Cricetulus griseus: one gene and its partners. The protein of the gene in region 2 purifies or fractionates together with the protein of the main gene of each other region. This does not show direct contact. Links are inferred from orthologs where the notes say so. Each region holds a gene or a part of one and is shown on either strand. Other genes may lie near its edges. The genes, in order: Rnps1, Snip1, Pnn and Nktr.

Region 1 (3,916 bases), on a different chromosome or scaffold from region 2:
TCAAAGACCACCCTGGTGTGGGATCCTTCCCTTTGGATCCACATTTGGCTAGAGAAAGGACAAAACTGAGTAGGGGGAACATAAGTTACAGAGGTACGAATCAATGTCCCTGCTTATCGGGAGGAGTTGGAGCTGGATCGGCTTCTGTGGCGGCGGCGGCCAGGAGATCGAGACCTCCTACGCACAGGAGACCTGCGCCTTGGGGATCGAGACCTGCAAGAAGAGAAATCAGGTCAGCCAAAAGTAAAATTTCCTAACAGCACAGCTATAGAGGGAAACTGGCCTTGTCTAAGACAATCATAATCTTGTTTACAACCATACGAACTGTCTGACCCTAAAGCTTTTCTCTTAACCCCTCTTAGAGTCTATAGTTTTTGTTTTTCAAACAGTGTCTTTTCTCTGTATAACCCTGGCTGTCCTTGACCTCAGAGATCCACCTGCCTCTGCCTCCTGTATTCTGGCATTAGAGGCCTGTACCACCCTGCCAAGAAGGCCACCCAGGAATGAACCTGGTTTCCAGGGGGCCTGTGCTAACTCAGATTTTATAGATATGGGTTCCTTGGACTGGCCTCATCTGCCTGTCAATAACAACGAAGGACCCCAAAATCATCACAGCCATTCAGGTGTATAATTCACATAAAGAAGCCAAATGGGTCAAGGACAATTCCAAATTAACTCACCTCCTCCTCATCCGTGGGGGTGACCTGCGCCACATGGGAGGCGGTGGAAGCATTCTCCTGGGTGGGCTGAATCGCCGTGGGGGTGGTCTAGGCCAGGGTGCCAACACGGCAGTAGCAGTGATCTCTTGGCCATCTATTTGTCCTGTAGAAAAAAGGGACAAAAGCATAAAAGCTCTAATATTAAATACTTAACATACTCACACCTGTGATGGTGTGTGACACATGCCGCAAATCTCAGCACTCAGGAGGTAGAGTACCCTTAATTAGCTTTGTCAAAGTGAAACAGGTAGGTATGATGGCCACACCTTTAATTCCAGCATTTGAGAAGCAGAGATAGAACAGGTGGATCTCTTGAGAATTTGTAGCCAGCCTGGTCTACATTGTAAGTTCCAGGTAAGACCAAAGAGAGGTACATAGGGAGACCCTGTCTCAAATACAAGACAAAATCCCGCCTATTCCAGACAAGCACAAAGTCAGGTGTTCAGCATACCAAGGTAAATAATCATTAGATAACCCCAGATAGCTGGGCAGTGGTGGTGCACGCCTTTAATCCCAGCACTTGAGAAGCAGAGGCAGGTGAGGTGAATCTGTGTGAGTCTGAGGTCAGCTTGGTCTACAGAGGGAGTTCCAGGACAGCCAGGGTTGTTAAAATTAAACAAACAAAAAACAGCAACAGGACATAAGATCCAACTGAATAGGAACAACTTCCCAGAAGATACACAAGCCACGCAAAGTTCTGAAGAATGTGTTGAATCTTGCTAGGTAGAAGACACAGAAGGACCAACAGTGGGACAAGTGACAAGATAGCACAGGACTTATGGGCATGATTGAGGCTCTTGGCAGGGACAGGAAGAGGACAAAGTCAGGAACATACAGGGTCTCAGAGAGAAAAAAAGCAAAGAGCATTGAGACGCGGACGTGGGAACACCTAACAGTTGCAGACTGTCTCCACATCTAGGGTCCCTAGGGCCCAAACCTAGCTCATCTGTGTCAACAATGGGCATAACTCTTCTTACCTTGCAGTACCTAGGGGCTCATTCAAACACATCCATTTAATGCCAGTGGTTAAACATAACTAAACCCAGCCTAATCCCACAGCCAAACCATTGCAAGAATGTCATTGCACTAACTGAATAGATAAGATACATCTATCATTTAGCCAGTCGTCTTTAAGGCCACTCTTCATGTCTCTAATTCCCTGGGTTTTTAAAAACTGATTAGCAATGCTCACTCTGGCAATACCAGATGATAAGCAGACTTTGAAAGTGAAAGTGATTCACAAGATCTGAGCTGACAAGAATGATACAGGTAGCTTATGCTGAACTCTTGAAACACTTGAGGCAGCCTAAAGTGAATTAAAAGTGGCTTACATATCAAAGAAAATCCACAATCAAAGGCAGTCATTGAAAACCAACAAAACCCTAACTGAAACTTTTAAGATATTAGTAAAGCTAACAGGCATCAAGCTGCCAGTTCTCAGTCTCAGTGGCCTACATCCTAGAGCTGGACACAAACTGCATTCTCTAAAACGCTGATTTGAAGACCACCAAAACCCATTCGGAAGTTAACACTTAATCCCATCACCAGGGAGGCAGAGGCAGGAGGATCTCTGTGAGTTCAAGGCCAGCCAGCTCTACACAGCTAGTTCCAGGACAGCTAGAGTGGTTTACAAAGAAAAATCCTGTCTCAAATCCCCCCCACCCCAAACCGTAAACCAAATTAAACAAACACAAAAAACCCATTCTACCATTATAGTTATGTTAAAAAACATGTACCATGTACCCATGCAGCAAAATAATCCCAAAATGCTGAAATGTTGGCAAAATTGAAAAGCATTCTCAAAATGATAAAAGAAAATATTCATTTGATCCACAGGTTTTTTTCTTTTTTTCTTTATTATGTATACATTCTTGTGTCTGCATGCCAGCAGAGGGCACCAGATCTCATTTGGGTGGTTGTGAGCCACCATGTGGTTGCTGGGAATTGAACTCAGGACCTCTGGAGGAAGAGCCAGTGCTCTTAACCGCTGAGCCATTTCTCCAGCCCCCTGATCCACAGGTTTTTAACAGGTTGAAAAATTCTTAAAATGCTAATATATTCATATTTGCTGACTTTTTCTTTTCAGGATAGTGAGTGCTTCAGAAAACATGTTCTTGGTAAATACACCCCACTGAGCAAGAACCAGAATCTACAAAGGGCTCTGCTGAGACTCAGAAGCACCTGGGTTGGAAATCTACTCCAAGGGTCCCACAAGCAATCAGGTTGTCTATGAGGACAGATGTGACAGGGCTGAGGTGGCCACAGGATCACTAACCTCCATCCATGTGTTTCAGTGCCTTCTCTGCCTCATCTGGATTCTCAAACTCCACATATGCGTAGCCTTTGGACAGATGAGGATGCATCCTTTCTACAGGCATGTCAATCATTTTAATTTTTCCATAAGTAGAAAATATTTCCATGATATGATCCTAGAGAAAGAAGATCACATCCTTGCTTACCCATCTATTACTTAACTGTCAAAGGGGAATTCACTAAAAACTGAGTAAATCCCCAGTAGTGTTAAAACATCCTGCCATTTGACAAGATGTGTCACTGGGGCCAAAGTGTCCTGGGCATAAGTCTAATGGATTAAGTCCATCAAAAAGGATTAAGCAGCGTTCCAATCAAGCCATGGGCTACTTCTTTGAAAGAAGGATTACATCCTAGATGTACTAGTTGCCAGACACCAGCTTGTTCAGCCACACAACCCAATCCTCATGATCTGAGATTCTTACCTTGGTCACATTCCTGGTAAGCCTCCCAATGTGCACCTTGGTGGGTTTAGGTGAAGGGCTTCGCCTCTTCCTTTCCTTTTCATCTCTTTTAGGTGGTTTGGATCTGAAAATAAAATTTTCAATATCCATTAACTATAATGGGTCTGGAGGTAGAATTCAGGACAAGGTCCCAGATTTGGCTGGCTCCCAGCTCTGAAAACGGGCAAATATCAGCGGGGTGTGGTGGTATATGCCTAAAATCCCAGCACCCAGGAGGGTACATGGGGATGAGGACTAATCTTGTGACACTATAAGCCAGTTCCAATTAAATGTTTTCCCTTAGCTGGATGGTGGTGGTGCACGCCTTTACTCCCAGCACTTGGGAGGTAGAGGCAGGCAGATCTCTGTGAATTTGAGGCCAGCCCGCTCTACAGAGCCATTTTAGGACAGCTAAAACCACATACAGAGAGACCCTGCCCTGAA
Region 2 (3,916 bases):
AGTCAATAATGAGGTTATGTGGTAAATTGTCACCCCCAAAAAAACGAAGTGCAAAATGAACTTCTATGACTCAAGAGCTGACCCAGGCCAAAGCTTTGGTATAAGCTGGAGGCTGTTTTGGTGACAACCAAAGCTTACTGAGATTCTCTGCTCTAGGGTTTGTCACCAAAACAAAACTCCTGGTCCACAAAGCTCAACGACTATATAAATAAGAAACTGTACAAAGAGAACAAGCCACAATCCCCTTTCCAAGGGCTTAAGTTTCCTGTGCAGCAGTTCTGAAGGCACCCACTACAGCCACACACTTTGACCAAAACTCAACATGCTGTAATTGGTGAGATTGTTCTGAAAACAAGCGCCCACAGGCAGGCGGCTGCTGTGCCAAGTTCAACAAAACACGAAGTGAGAGTTCTCATACTGCAACACAAGCTGGGCAGCAACAGAGAAAAGACTTAAGGCAAGAAGAGGCGCTGGAGTCAACCCCATGGCCTCCAGGAGGAACGGATTCTCATGGGGGAGGGGGTGGGTGCTTCTCAGTTGCTAGCTGTCAGACACCATTTCCTCCTCCTCGTCATCTTCGTCTTCCTTTCTATCTAGTTCAGATGTGTCTGAAGACTCATGGAGCAAGACATATTCTCTGCTACTGAACCCAAATTTAAGGACGTCTTTTTCCTTCAGTTCATAGTACCTCTGTGGTTCAATACGCTTGTTGTTTAGGAAGGTCCCGTTGCCTGAGCCCAGATCAATGATGTAGGGTTTCACCCTCCGACCAACTGTGCCGTCAGCACGAGTGTACTCCACAAGCCTAGAAGAGACCAGTGAGAGAAGCATGTGAGCAAGTCCTACCAGGGACCATCTACTCTGCAGCTCTCTGCTACAGATCTAGATGTCACTGACCTGACTCGAACATGGTTCAAACAAAACCTCTGGAAGGTCACAGGGGAAGCACTGCCCTGGACAGGGAAATTGGGAGCAGTTTAAATATATCTAAGAGAAAAAGTAGAGCTGGCTGTGGGTGGTGGGTGGGGATGGAGGGCCATGAGATATCCCAATGTAGAACTCAAGGCTTCTTGCTATGGCTACAAATATACTTCCTCCAATGCTGTACAGCTATTTTAGCACCAGCCCAAATGGGGAAAAACATTAGAATGAGATGAGACTTTCGTGTCAAGGGCGGGATATGAGACAGAGCTCTGCTCTGAAGATCATTACTGCTACCAGCAACTGTGCTGAGCTGCAGTTTTCCCAGATGTCAAATGAGGATGTTAACACTGGTCCTGTTTTCCCACGGGACTGTGGAGGATCAGATAGTAACGGTAATATGATCTAAGCAGCAGATTCAGCCAGCATATACCTGGCATTCTGACTCTGGCTTATACTTGCTTGGCCTTCTGACACCTGAGATTATAGGCCTGCACCACCGCAATGATAGCGGCTAATCTGGGTTTCTGATATCAAGTTCAAGATTCTCACACAAATGTTAAGAGATTACTCAAGGACTGCTAGACTCTTTCAGCCCAGCTTATTAGATACAAGGTGTAATGGCCTCTTCTGCATCTCCACAAACAGCATAGGGGTCCTCAATGAGACACTCACCCCAGCTCCCTTTCCAGTCCTCCTCCTGGTCTACCTACCGATACTGGAAGACTGCGTGCTGCTTTGAGCAGGAGGGATGGTCGATGGGAATGTCGGCGATGCGGCGATGTCGGCCCAGAAGGTAAGCACTCTGCCGATGGATGTACATGACGGGAAGTACCTCATCATTTTTAAAGGGGTACAGACGCCACCGTTTTTTTGGGATCCGGGCTTCTGGGGGCTCACTGTACTTAATAACCACACCCCGGAAGGTATTGGTGTCCTCAAGAAGTGCCCCAGAAAGTTCAAAGCTTGGTTTTTCTTTAACAGGCACCTCTCTGCTTCTGTTACCAGCAGGGCGAGGGATCACCTCCTGAGCTTCACCGCCAGCACCTTCATTCTGCTGACGATGCTCCCGGCGCCTGGCATTATGAAAGTCCCTTTCTTCTTCCTGGGCCTGCAGAATTTGGCTGTCTCGGTCCCGACCCTGACCACTGACAGGCCTCTCATCAGAGCTCCTCTTTTGGCGGGAATGGCCCCGGTGCCGGTCTCGCTCACTGTTACGAGCTCTCCTCTGCTCCTGTTCTGATGGCTCTCGGTGCTGCCGATCTTCTCGTCCTCTCCGAGGATGGTCCTCACGTTCCTGAAATTAAGATGCATTCAGTAAAGGAAAGACGGCTTCTACTCTGTGAATAAGCTGTCAGGGCTGGGGAGATGGCTCAGCAGTTAAGAGCACTGACTGCTGTTCCAGGACCCAGGTTCAGTTCCTAGCACCCACATAACTGTTCACAATCTGTGACTATCATTCCAAGGGGATCCAATGCTCTCTTGTGGTAAGCATGGGCACTGCATCTATATGGTGTAGATATCCATGCAGGCAAAACACCCACACACATAAAATAATTAAATCCCCCAAAATGAACAACACATCTATAACCTGAGTGCTGATGATATTCAGAGCAAATTCCTATCTACACAAGACTATCTGTTCTATTCCCCTGGAGTGTCATCTGTGGTAGTTCTGTTCCCCTGGAGGGCCATTATGACTATACTCCATGCTGCTCCTCAAATACAGGCCTGATAGCCCAAGCCCACATCCAGAGCCCTCAAAACAAGAGGCTGATACAGAGGGAAGGAGAAATAATATTCCCATCAGTCACCTGCTAGCAAACTCACAGGGCAGCATGTGTAGAAAACAGAACAGAGTAGCCAGGTGGTGGTGGTGGTTCACTCCATTAATCCCAGCACCTGGGAGGCAAAGGCAGGTGGATCTCTGAGTTTGAGGCCAGCCTAGTCTACAGAGTGAGTTCCAAGACAGCCAGCCAAGGCTACACAAAACCTGTCCTCCCTCCAGAGAGAAAAAGAGAGGAAGGGAGGGAGGGGGAGAGAAGGAGGGGGAGGGGGGACAGAACCATTACATTTATGTAAAGGAAAAAGTCAACTTCCTCATAAGCCAAAAAGAAACTGAAATAATTTCAAAAGCTCCAGCTTCAACAATTACATACTAAAAATCAGCCTGGCATGGGGCTGGAGAGATGGCTCAAAGGTTAAGAGCACTGACTGCTCTACCAGAGGTCCTGAATTCGATTCCCAGCAACCACATAGTGGCTCACAACCATCTGTAAAAAGATCTGGTGCCCTCTTCTGGCCTGCAGGCATACATCCAGACAGGACACTGTATGCATAATAAATGAATAAATCTTTAAAAAAAAAAAATCAGCCTGGCAGAAACTACAATACACATAACACACCAGTAGATCAATGAGAGACTGATGGTGGTGGCACATGCTTTTGACCCCAGTATTCAGGGGGTAGGGACAGGCAGGCCTCTGTGAGTTTGAGGCCAGTCTGATCTACAGAGTTCCAGCATGCTATTACACAGGAAGGCTATCACACAAAGAAATGCTGTCTCAAAAAAACAAGGACAAAAACAGACCAATGAGAAATCAATCAGTAATCAGCCAGTCCACAGGCAAAGCCTCAACAGCAGTCTCCAGAAGAAGCTAACAGTTAGTGACCACCTGTCTCGCTAGGAACCAGAGGACCAATGTTAAAATAGAAATTTTCTCAGATTTGCTAAATTAAAAAGGTCAGGAATAGCTACTATCAAAGGAGAAGGGACTGGGGCTGCACTCAGGAGGAAGAGGCAGAGTTTCAGGTCAGCCAAGTGATATAGTGAGAATGAGAACCTAAATCCATGGGGGGCGGGGGGGATCGTGTTCTAGGCCTAGCCAGGGCTGGTGGCTCTTGGCTTTAATCCCAGCACTTGGGAGGCAGAGGCAGGTGAATCTCTTTTGAGTTCAAGGCCAGCCTGGTCTACAGAACAAGATCCAGGACAGTT
Region 3 (4,529 bases), on a different chromosome or scaffold from region 2:
CATTGAAAATAAATTAAGCAAAATAAAATTTTGTTTCGTTTTGTTTTTTGAGACAGGGTTTCTCTGTATTGCTTTGGAGGTTGTCCTGGAACTTGATCTGTAAACCAGGATGGCCTCCAACTCACAGAGATCCACCTGCCTCTGCCTCCTGAGTGCTGGAACTAAAGGCGTGTGCCACCAATGCCCAGCTAAATATAATAAAAAAATTTTATATAATTTATAGAATGAATTTACTAGTCACATCTTTTCATTGGCTGCATTTTACCAACAAAATATTTTGTTTGATACCTGGCCTTTAGCATATAAGACACTATGGGTTCTTATAGTGTCATTACCTCTTAGATGGCATATTATATATCAAACTATATATATATGCATACACATATACATATATATACATACACACACACACACACACACACACACACATATATATATATATATATATATATATTGCCTTTTTTCGAGACAGGGTTTCTCTGTTGCTTTGGAGCCTATCCTGGAACTAGTTCTGTAAGCCAGGAGGCCTAAAACTCACAGAGATCCGCCTGCCTCTGCCTCCCCAGTGCAGAGATTAAAGGTATGTGTCACCACCACCTGGAAAAAATTCTCATTCTTTTTCATGAAGCAATCCTCTAAGGATTTGATCTCTGTGCAACGTTTTCTGAAATACAAGCTGTCCATCTATTCTGGAACACAACCAGTTCCAATGTTGGCTGTGCAGGAAGGTCAGAGGGAAATCTGGGAAACACACACAACAAAATACTGGCCACTTCCCCAGGCCCACTATTAAATTAGCGGGCTCTAGGCCTGGTGAAGATTAAGGCAGTCAGTCTTGCTCCGGTCAGATCACAAACGACCTCTCAATATAGATCTGACTTGACCTGCTTGACCTAGGGAAACCGAAGCCTCCATTCACTTATTATTAATAACCATTTTACCCAAGTTTCTAATATTTAACGACTAAGGCATGCGAAACGAAACGCAGTTTCCACAATTATTATCTGTTAGGAGGAAGACCCGTGGTGGTTCTTCGCTTTAGGTTCAGTTCACTTTAATGGAAGGCAGCCTGCACCTCCCTGCCCTCTGGGCATGCGCAACAGCCTATAAATTGCCATGCCCTTTCCTAACTAAATCTCTTGTGAAGGGAAAGAAGGGAAGATACAGTCGCTTCCGTCGCTTCCGTCCCCTGGGTGTGAGTGGATGTTTAAAATCGCTATAAAGTGAACGGCACCGCAGATTTAAGAGGGCTGCCTTCGCAGACGCGCAAGCTCGCGTCTACCACACGGACATAATCCCTCCCCGCTCTGCGCAAGAAGCAGAGCGCAACCACCCGCAGGCGGCGAGGGGGAGGAGCTGACCGCCGTGCCGGCTTCTCATTGGCCCGGAGTCACGGAGCTGCGGGCTTCTTCCCCTTCCGATCCCTGGGTGGTTGAGACCGAAAACTAAAGCCTGCGGTGATTGGCTGGGGCGGGCTGTCAGTCCTTCCGCGTCTGGCGGCGGGCGCGGCGCGGCACTGCGCGGCCTGTAGAGCAGTCGCGAAGCCTGCTGCAGAGAGAAGATGGCGGTCGCGGTGAGAACTTTGCAGGAGCAGCTGGAGAAGGCCAAAGAGAGCCTCAAGAACGTAGACGAGAACATCCGCAAGCTCACCGGGCGGGACCCAAATGATGTGAGGTAAGGGTGGGATGGAACATGCGAGGTGGGCGAGACACTCCTCGGGTCGGGGCGAACAGGGGCGAGAGGGCAGCCGGCCGGTTGTGGGCCGTCTGGGGTCAAGAAGCCTCTCTCCCGGGCAGCGGCCGAGCACGCTTCTCGGTTAGGGGGCGAGACGCCATCCCTGCGTCCCCGGGCGAGGGGAGCCAGGGCTTGCGGAGGCCGAGCGAACCTGACTGCGCGGCATGGCTTCCGCACCCGTGGGAAGGCCGAGACCACGGCTTCCCGCCCTTGGCGCCGCAGGCCCGGAACTGCAGTACAAAGCCCCTTCCCACCCCGCCGTCCCCCGGCCCGCGCCAAAGCGGAGATGCCCGGCCCATGCGGGTGGCCGCCTCTCTCCCTACCCTGGACTGTGTGTCCCTCCCTCCCTTGGGGCTGGCAGATAGGAGCTAATCCAGCCTTATTAATTAATGTGTAGCGGTTTCGAGGTAAATATATTTCCCGAAATACTGCGTTTGGGGAAACCAGGAAGAGGATAGTAATGTCCTGTCTCATAGAAGTGGCTCTGAAACCGTCGTTTTAGAACTGTGTTCAGTTTTCCTTAGGGTGTACCACACCTGTGGAAGTATATGATGCCCTTGCGGATGACTACATAGGATTTTTGAACTGATTATAAATCTTTTGTAGGCCCATCCAAGCCAGATTGCTGGCCCTTTCTGGTCCTGGTGGAGGTAGAGGACGTGGTAGTTTATTGCTAAGGTAAGATCTTTCATATATGCTAACTAATGCTAAAATTTATCAACTTAAAAGAGTTATCAGGAGCTGGGGTGGTGGTCCATACCTTTAGTCCTAGCACGCAGGAGGCAAAGGCAGTGTGGTCTAAAAACGAGTTCCAGGACTGTTACACAGAAAAATCCTGGGGGGTGCAGGTCGGGGGGAGGGGGATTAGGTTGAATCAAATATATAGATAGATGTAGTGACCTGCCAGGTTTCTAATAAATGTATTGCAAAAGTAGAGGTTGAGCCGGGCATTGGTGGCGCACACGTTTAATCCCAGTACTCGGAAGGAGGCAGAGGCAGGCGGATTTCTGAGTTAGAGGCCAGCCTGGTCTACAAGAGCTAGTTCCAGGACAGGCTCCAAAACAATACAGAGAAACCCTGTCTTGAAAAACAAAAACAACAGAGTAGGGGTGGAAGAATATTAATTAGAACTGTTTCATATAAGCTTAATTGTGTTTTTGAGTACTGTAAATGTTTTTTGGCATCCGAGAATATAATTGGTGGTGGTAAAGTGTTTTGCAAGCCCCAGCAAGGGAAGAAGGCAACTCTTTTCCTGTGGATGCTAAGTTTACTTCATTTGGAAATGTTTTTATTTTTATAAAATCAGTTAAAATCATTCACCAACTGGAAATATCAATTTATCCTATGTTTCTCAGTCTTTCTGTTGGATGTTTTAATTGCAGGCGTGGATTCTCAGATAGTGGAGGAGGACCCCCAGCCAAACAGAGAGACCTGGAAGGGGCAGTCAGTAGGTATGTTTTCAGATTTCTGAAGCATCGGTATATGCATCATCTACTTCTGTATTTGTATTGGGATTTAGTGGCCTGTGGCTTCTCTCTGGAGTCCCTTTGGGTGTTTGAACTGTGCTAGCCAGTGTCTTACAAAAGTCTGTGGGATTGGAAGAAGCAATACTTTCTGTTTTGTACTTTGAAAACCATTGTGAGAAACGTGGGTACAGTGAAAGAGCCAAGTTTTGTGTGAACATTTTGCTTCTATTTTTTCACTGACAGGTAAATGAGATATAAGCTGATAGCATGTGGCTTCTGGAGAGGAGTCCTAGAAAACTCCCTTCCCTTGATGTGCACTTGATTCTGCAGTTCTCATTTAGATTATTTTTTTTCCTGTGATAGGCTGGGTGGGGAGCGTCGGACAAGAAGAGAATCACGCCAGGAAAGCGACCCAGAAGATGATGATGTCAAAAAGGTATTGAAATTAAATATTAGTGCATTTTGAAAAGCATGTTACCCATGTGCAGGAAATCACCAATATTTCCTTTTCTCTTGTAGCCAGCACTGCAGTCTTCTGTTGTAGCTACCTCCAAAGAGCGTACACGTAGAGACCTCATCCAGGATCAAAATATGGATGAAAAGGGAAAGCAAAGGTATCTGCAGAACTTGTCTGATAATAGCATACTAAGAAAAATTACACTCTTTTAAATGCCTTTAGCATCTCTTAGAAAATGGCGGGTTTAGTGTGGGTCATGCAGACATTGATTTTCTTTTGCTTTTTCTTAGGAACCGACGAATATTTGGCTTGTTGATGGGCACCCTTCAAAAATTCAAACAAGAATCTACCGTTGCAACTGAAAGGGTATTGCTGCAATTTTTGTTTTTCCTCATTTACTCATTACCAAATAGGGCACTAACGTTTTTAAAAAGAGCTTGAACTTTTTGTTTGTTTGTTTGTTTGTTTGTTTGTTTTTCGAGCAGGGTTTCTCTGTGGCTTTGAAGGCTGTCCTGGAACTAGCTCTTGTAGACCAGACTGGTCACGAACTCACAAGAGATCCAACTGCCTCTGCCTCCCGAGTGCTGGGATTTAAAGGCGTTCGCCACCAATGCCCGGCTGAACATTCTCTTTACTTTTGTGATAAGGACTTTTGCTAAGCTAAGGCTAAGCTGGTATTCACTATGTAGCTAAGAATGGCCTTGAAGTCTTGATGTTCCTACTTCTACCTTAGAGGCCCTGGGATTTATCTGTTTACTTATGTGTTTACTCATTTATTTGTTTGGTAGGTTACCTGCCCACCTTTGAATTTTTGAGATGGGAGTCTCACTGTATAGCTCTGTTTGGTTAAACCTAACTATGTAAACCAGTCC
Region 4 (3,916 bases), on a different chromosome or scaffold from region 2:
CCAGTCCCTGAGAACCGGTTCTTACTTCGCAGAGATATGCCTGCTGTCACAGTGGAGCCTGAACCGTAAGTAGGCTGATGAGCACAGTCCTCTTCTCCAAGGCAGGAGTACGACAACATATTGATTGGCTATAACATACATACATACATACATACATACATACATACATACATACATACATGAGTCATTTACTTACTGATTGGCTGGACGACTTTGGAAATTTATTTTGTTTTTTACACCTGCAAGTCCATAGGACAGCTAGGTTTTTTTGTTTGTTTGTTTGTTTGTTTGTTTGTTTGTTTTGTTTTGTTTTTTCCCCTCAGGGAACATGCAGAGGGTATGCCAGGGAGGAGTGCTGTCACTCGGCTGGCTTTCTCCTGCCTCTTGTAATCTCCCTGGCCCTAGCACATGGGATAGTTAGTGTGCCCAGTCTCTTAGGTGACTGGATATCCAGGCAAGTTAACAGCAATGATTAGCTATTGCCCTGTATATTTTTGTTTCTCTGATGGGTAAGTCCATTATTTCATTGCAACTTTAGACTCACCATGACTCGGGCTCAGAGTACACAGAAAGATAGTTTGGGTGATCAGCAGAGCTCTGAGTGGCTTGTGCCTCCTTTATTGAATCCACATTTGATACATGAACAGGTAAAGGAAGTGGGCAGGTTATTCACTGAAGGTATGCTTTGCTGTGGTGGTTAGGTGGTTTTGTCTGCTTATGGATCTCGCTGTGTGTCACAGGCGAGCCTTGAACTTGGGATGCTTCTGCTTTACCCCCCAGAGTATTGGGTTGCAGGTGTGTCTTTGCTGCCACGCTGGTGGGGAGGGAAGCGTTTGTGAGAGCTATGGGAGCATTGCATCGCTGCTCTTGCTGCACTGTAATGCAGTTGTTCACACTGGGCTATCAGGTGGATTGCACCTAGGGCATCCAAATGAGTGGGGACATCTGTTTCACTTTGTTTTGTTTTGTTTTCTGATTTTTCGAGACAGGGTTTCTCTGTGTAGCTTTGTAGACAGGCTGACCTCAAACTCACAGAGATCCGCCTGCCTCTGCCTCCCGAGTGCTGGGATTAAAGGTGTGCGCCACCACGTGGCTCTGTTTCACTTTATTGGTTTTTTTTTTTTTTTAAAGATTTTATTTATTTATTATGTATACAACATTCTGCTTCCATGTATATCTGCACACCAGAAGAGGGCACCAGATCTCATAACGGATGGTTGTGAGCCACCATGTGGTTGCTGGGAATTGAACTCAGGACCTCTGGAAGAGTAGTCGGTGCTCTTAAACCTCTGAGCCATGTCTCCAGCCCCATCTGTTTCACTTTTAATAGTGCAAAGTTAATTACATAATGACCGAAGATAGTTTGCTATCATAAATATTACTGTAGTTAATTTCCCTGAATTGTGGCTTTAGAGTTAGTCTCAGCAAATAGTATTTAATATACTTTGTGTAATAGATTTCAATTCAGAATTATTAAAAGGATATGAGCATGGTGATATATGCATGTAGCCTAGCCATGGGGAAGGTTTTTTTTAATGTGTGAAAAGATTTTGTTTTTATTTATTCAATGTGTCTTTCATATCACCCATCTGGATACCATTCATTTCCCTGTCTGTCCCTTTGCATCTGCCCTCTGCCTCTGCAAGCCTCCCCTCCCCCAAATAAAACACAATGTAAGAAAGAAAAGGAAAACATTAATAATCTCATCATGGAAGCTGCGTTGTGGCACAGTGTGTCATGTAATAAACCCCTTTGTTCATGTATCTTATAAGTGTTTATTGCAAAGGGTCATTGGTCCACTTCTAGGCCTCTGGCTTCTGCTTCACCATTGATGTTTGGCCCTCACTGAGACTCCTCTTGGTTATCCTGCTGTTGCCTGGGTTGTGGAGATCCTGCAGCTTTGGGTCTGCAGGTCAGGCCCCTTCATGTGCTCCAGCAGATGATAGATGGGGCAGGCCAAATCAGAACCTTGGTTCTGGGCCTGGGCAGCTGTAGGGTTGGTTAGCCAGCCAGTCAGTTCTCCCCTCTCCTCACCACCAGGGTGAGCTTTGCAGCGTTGCCCCAGCTGATTGACCTCTTGCAGCAATGAGCTAGGGGCGGGGCCAGTTCTGCTTTCACGCCCTTAGGGTTGACTCTCTCCCACCGACACCACAGGGCCAGCTCTGCTGTGCTGCCCAGGGGAGGAGCAGGGCCTGCTTTCCTGGTGCTGCAGCTGGCAAGGGGGAGAGGCATGCTGCTCGTGTGTTGCAGGCAGTAAGTGGTGGGGGCACCTCGCCCCACTTACAGTCTCCACGTTGGCTCACCCACACCTCTGCCATCAGGGTTAGCTCTATTGTGCTGCCCAGCCTAGGTGCGGGGCCTGATTTCCTAGTGTTGTAGCCCCTAGAGGGCAGGGACAGCTGGGGAGTATCATTTGACCTCGGGAGTGGTGTCCATCCTGAACAACATCACAAGGTGTAATCTCAAAAGAGGGAGGTGGGGAGGGAGAAGGAGGGAAAACTGTGATGCCTGAACAACAATGCTGCAGTGCCTGGTGCAAGTGGTGTGTCCCTGTGAGCAGCTGCTGAGAAAGCCGAGCAGCGAAGCACAGCTGCACCGCTGCCCTGCACAGCCTCCTGTGTGCTTGTTTACTTGTGACGCAGGGTCCTGCTGGGTGGCCTAGGCTGCCATCGAACTCCCCACATGCTGAGATTACAGGCATGTGCTGGCATGGCTGGCTTCCTTCAAAAATCTTTTACTTAAAAAAAAAAAGCATTTATTAGAAGATGAAATGCTTGTTTTTCAAGTGCATATTTACTAATGGAATTCTTCTAGGGCAGGGTAACTCTCATCAAGAGCTCAAGTCAGTGTTCTCTGTTAGATCAGTTATTAGAGCTGTTGATCTGACAGTCTGCAGTGAGAGTTCACTCACCTCATGTTTGCAGGGTCATGTATGTAGCACTTGAAATGCTGACTGTACCTGGTGATGTGTGCTGCACCTCCTAGCTGCGTGAGGGAGCTCAGAAATAGCTGGATGGATGTGACTGCTCTCATAAAACTTTATGGGAAGACATTCTGGCGTCTGCCCATCTTTAATTGTCATCACCACTTTTTCAGGAACATCCCAGATGTTGCACCTGTTGTAAGTGATCAGAAACCATCTGTATCAAAGTCTGGAAGGAAAATTAGAGGAAGAGGCACAATTGTACGTATGTTAGAACTTTTTTCTTTCAAATTGCTTACCTAAATAGTAACTTTTTAAAATTTAAAGATCTGAGGTTTAGTTTTAGATAGATTATTTCTCGTGTCAGGCCGTGGTGGCACACTTTTTTTTTTTTTCTCTCTTGAGACAGGGGGTGGCACATACTTTTAATTCCAGTACTTGGGAGATGGAGGCAGGTGGATCTCTGAGATTGAAGCCATCCTGGTCTACAGAGTGAGCTCCAGGACAGCCAGGGCTGCACAGAGAAACCCTGTCTAAAGAAAAAGAAAAGAAAAAGACTATTTTACTTATTTAAGGAATTGTTTTTTATTTCCCATAGTTTGGGAAGGTACTCACTCCCATCGCATACATTTACAGCTGTGGGTAGATTTAATTATTCAGTGATGTAATACATGAAAAGGTATATTGAGAAATCTTAGTCTATGGAGTACTGGAGGCCAGAATGTGTTAGGACTGCAACGGGAGCCATTAAAGGATTCCAGGTAAATGTCTTGTCTTTCTCGCCTCTCAGTGTCTTATATTTGAAGTAACTCCATAGTATCCAGTTAATACTTAAGTTGGTGCCCAGATTAAACTTTTGCCTGACTCTGTCCTACAAGAGGCTCTCTTAGACAGTCACTGCCCTCTCTGTGTTGAAGCGCTATCACACACCTCCAAGGTCAAGATCCCATTCTGAGTCGGAAGATGATGACAGCAGTGAAACTCCTCCTCACT

What was found.
Region 1: the proteins of Snip1 (region 2) and Rnps1 purify together in Homo sapiens (affinity purification with mass spectrometry; 4 studies listed by BioGRID and IntAct, counting the BioPlex papers as one, with this or other methods). This does not show direct contact. The link is inferred for Cricetulus griseus from reciprocal best matches to the Homo sapiens genes SNIP1 and RNPS1.
Region 3: the proteins of Snip1 (region 2) and Pnn purify together in Homo sapiens (affinity purification with mass spectrometry; 4 studies listed by BioGRID and IntAct, counting the BioPlex papers as one, with this or other methods). This does not show direct contact. The link is inferred for Cricetulus griseus from reciprocal best matches to the Homo sapiens genes SNIP1 and PNN.
Region 4: the proteins of Snip1 (region 2) and Nktr purify together in Homo sapiens (affinity purification with mass spectrometry; 3 studies listed by BioGRID and IntAct, counting the BioPlex papers as one, with this or other methods). This does not show direct contact. The link is inferred for Cricetulus griseus from reciprocal best matches to the Homo sapiens genes SNIP1 and NKTR.

What each region holds. Positions count from the first base shown.
Region 1 is NC_048600.1:43,961,841-43,965,756, reverse strand, and holds part of Rnps1 (RNA-binding protein with serine-rich domain 1), read right to left. Parts: intron 3,558-3,916; coding exon 3,455-3,557; intron 3,149-3,454; coding exon 2,995-3,148; intron 823-2,994; coding exon 681-822; intron 214-680; coding exon 114-213; 3' UTR 1-113. UniProt on the Homo sapiens protein: Part of pre- and post-splicing multiprotein mRNP complexes. Auxiliary component of the splicing-dependent multiprotein exon junction complex (EJC) deposited at splice junction on mRNAs.
Region 2 is NC_048595.1:27,983,247-27,987,162, forward strand, and holds part of Snip1 (smad nuclear-interacting protein 1), read right to left. Parts: intron 2,219-3,916; coding exon 1,635-2,218; intron 806-1,634; coding exon 541-805; 3' UTR 1-540. UniProt on the Homo sapiens protein: Required for pre-mRNA splicing as component of the spliceosome. As a component of the minor spliceosome, involved in the splicing of U12-type introns in pre-mRNAs. Down-regulates NF-kappa-B signaling by competing with RELA for CREBBP/EP300 binding.
Region 3 is NC_048598.1:143,477,045-143,481,573, reverse strand, and holds the start of Pnn (pinin), read left to right. Parts: upstream 1-1,487; 5' UTR 1,488-1,561; coding exon 1,562-1,674; intron 1,675-2,340; coding exon 2,341-2,412; intron 2,413-3,116; coding exon 3,117-3,185; intron 3,186-3,563; coding exon 3,564-3,636; intron 3,637-3,719; coding exon 3,720-3,814; intron 3,815-3,947; coding exon 3,948-4,023; intron 4,024-4,529. UniProt on the Homo sapiens protein: Transcriptional activator binding to the E-box 1 core sequence of the E-cadherin promoter gene; the core-binding sequence is 5'CAGGTG-3'. Capable of reversing CTBP1-mediated transcription repression.
Region 4 is NC_048597.1:228,741,590-228,745,505, forward strand, and holds part of Nktr (NK-tumor recognition protein), read left to right. Parts: coding exon 1-65; intron 66-3,096; coding exon 3,097-3,184; intron 3,185-3,483; exon of another isoform or gene 3,484-3,840; coding exon 3,841-3,916. UniProt on the Homo sapiens protein: PPIase that catalyzes the cis-trans isomerization of proline imidic peptide bonds in oligopeptides and may therefore assist protein folding. Component of a putative tumor-recognition complex involved in the function of NK cells.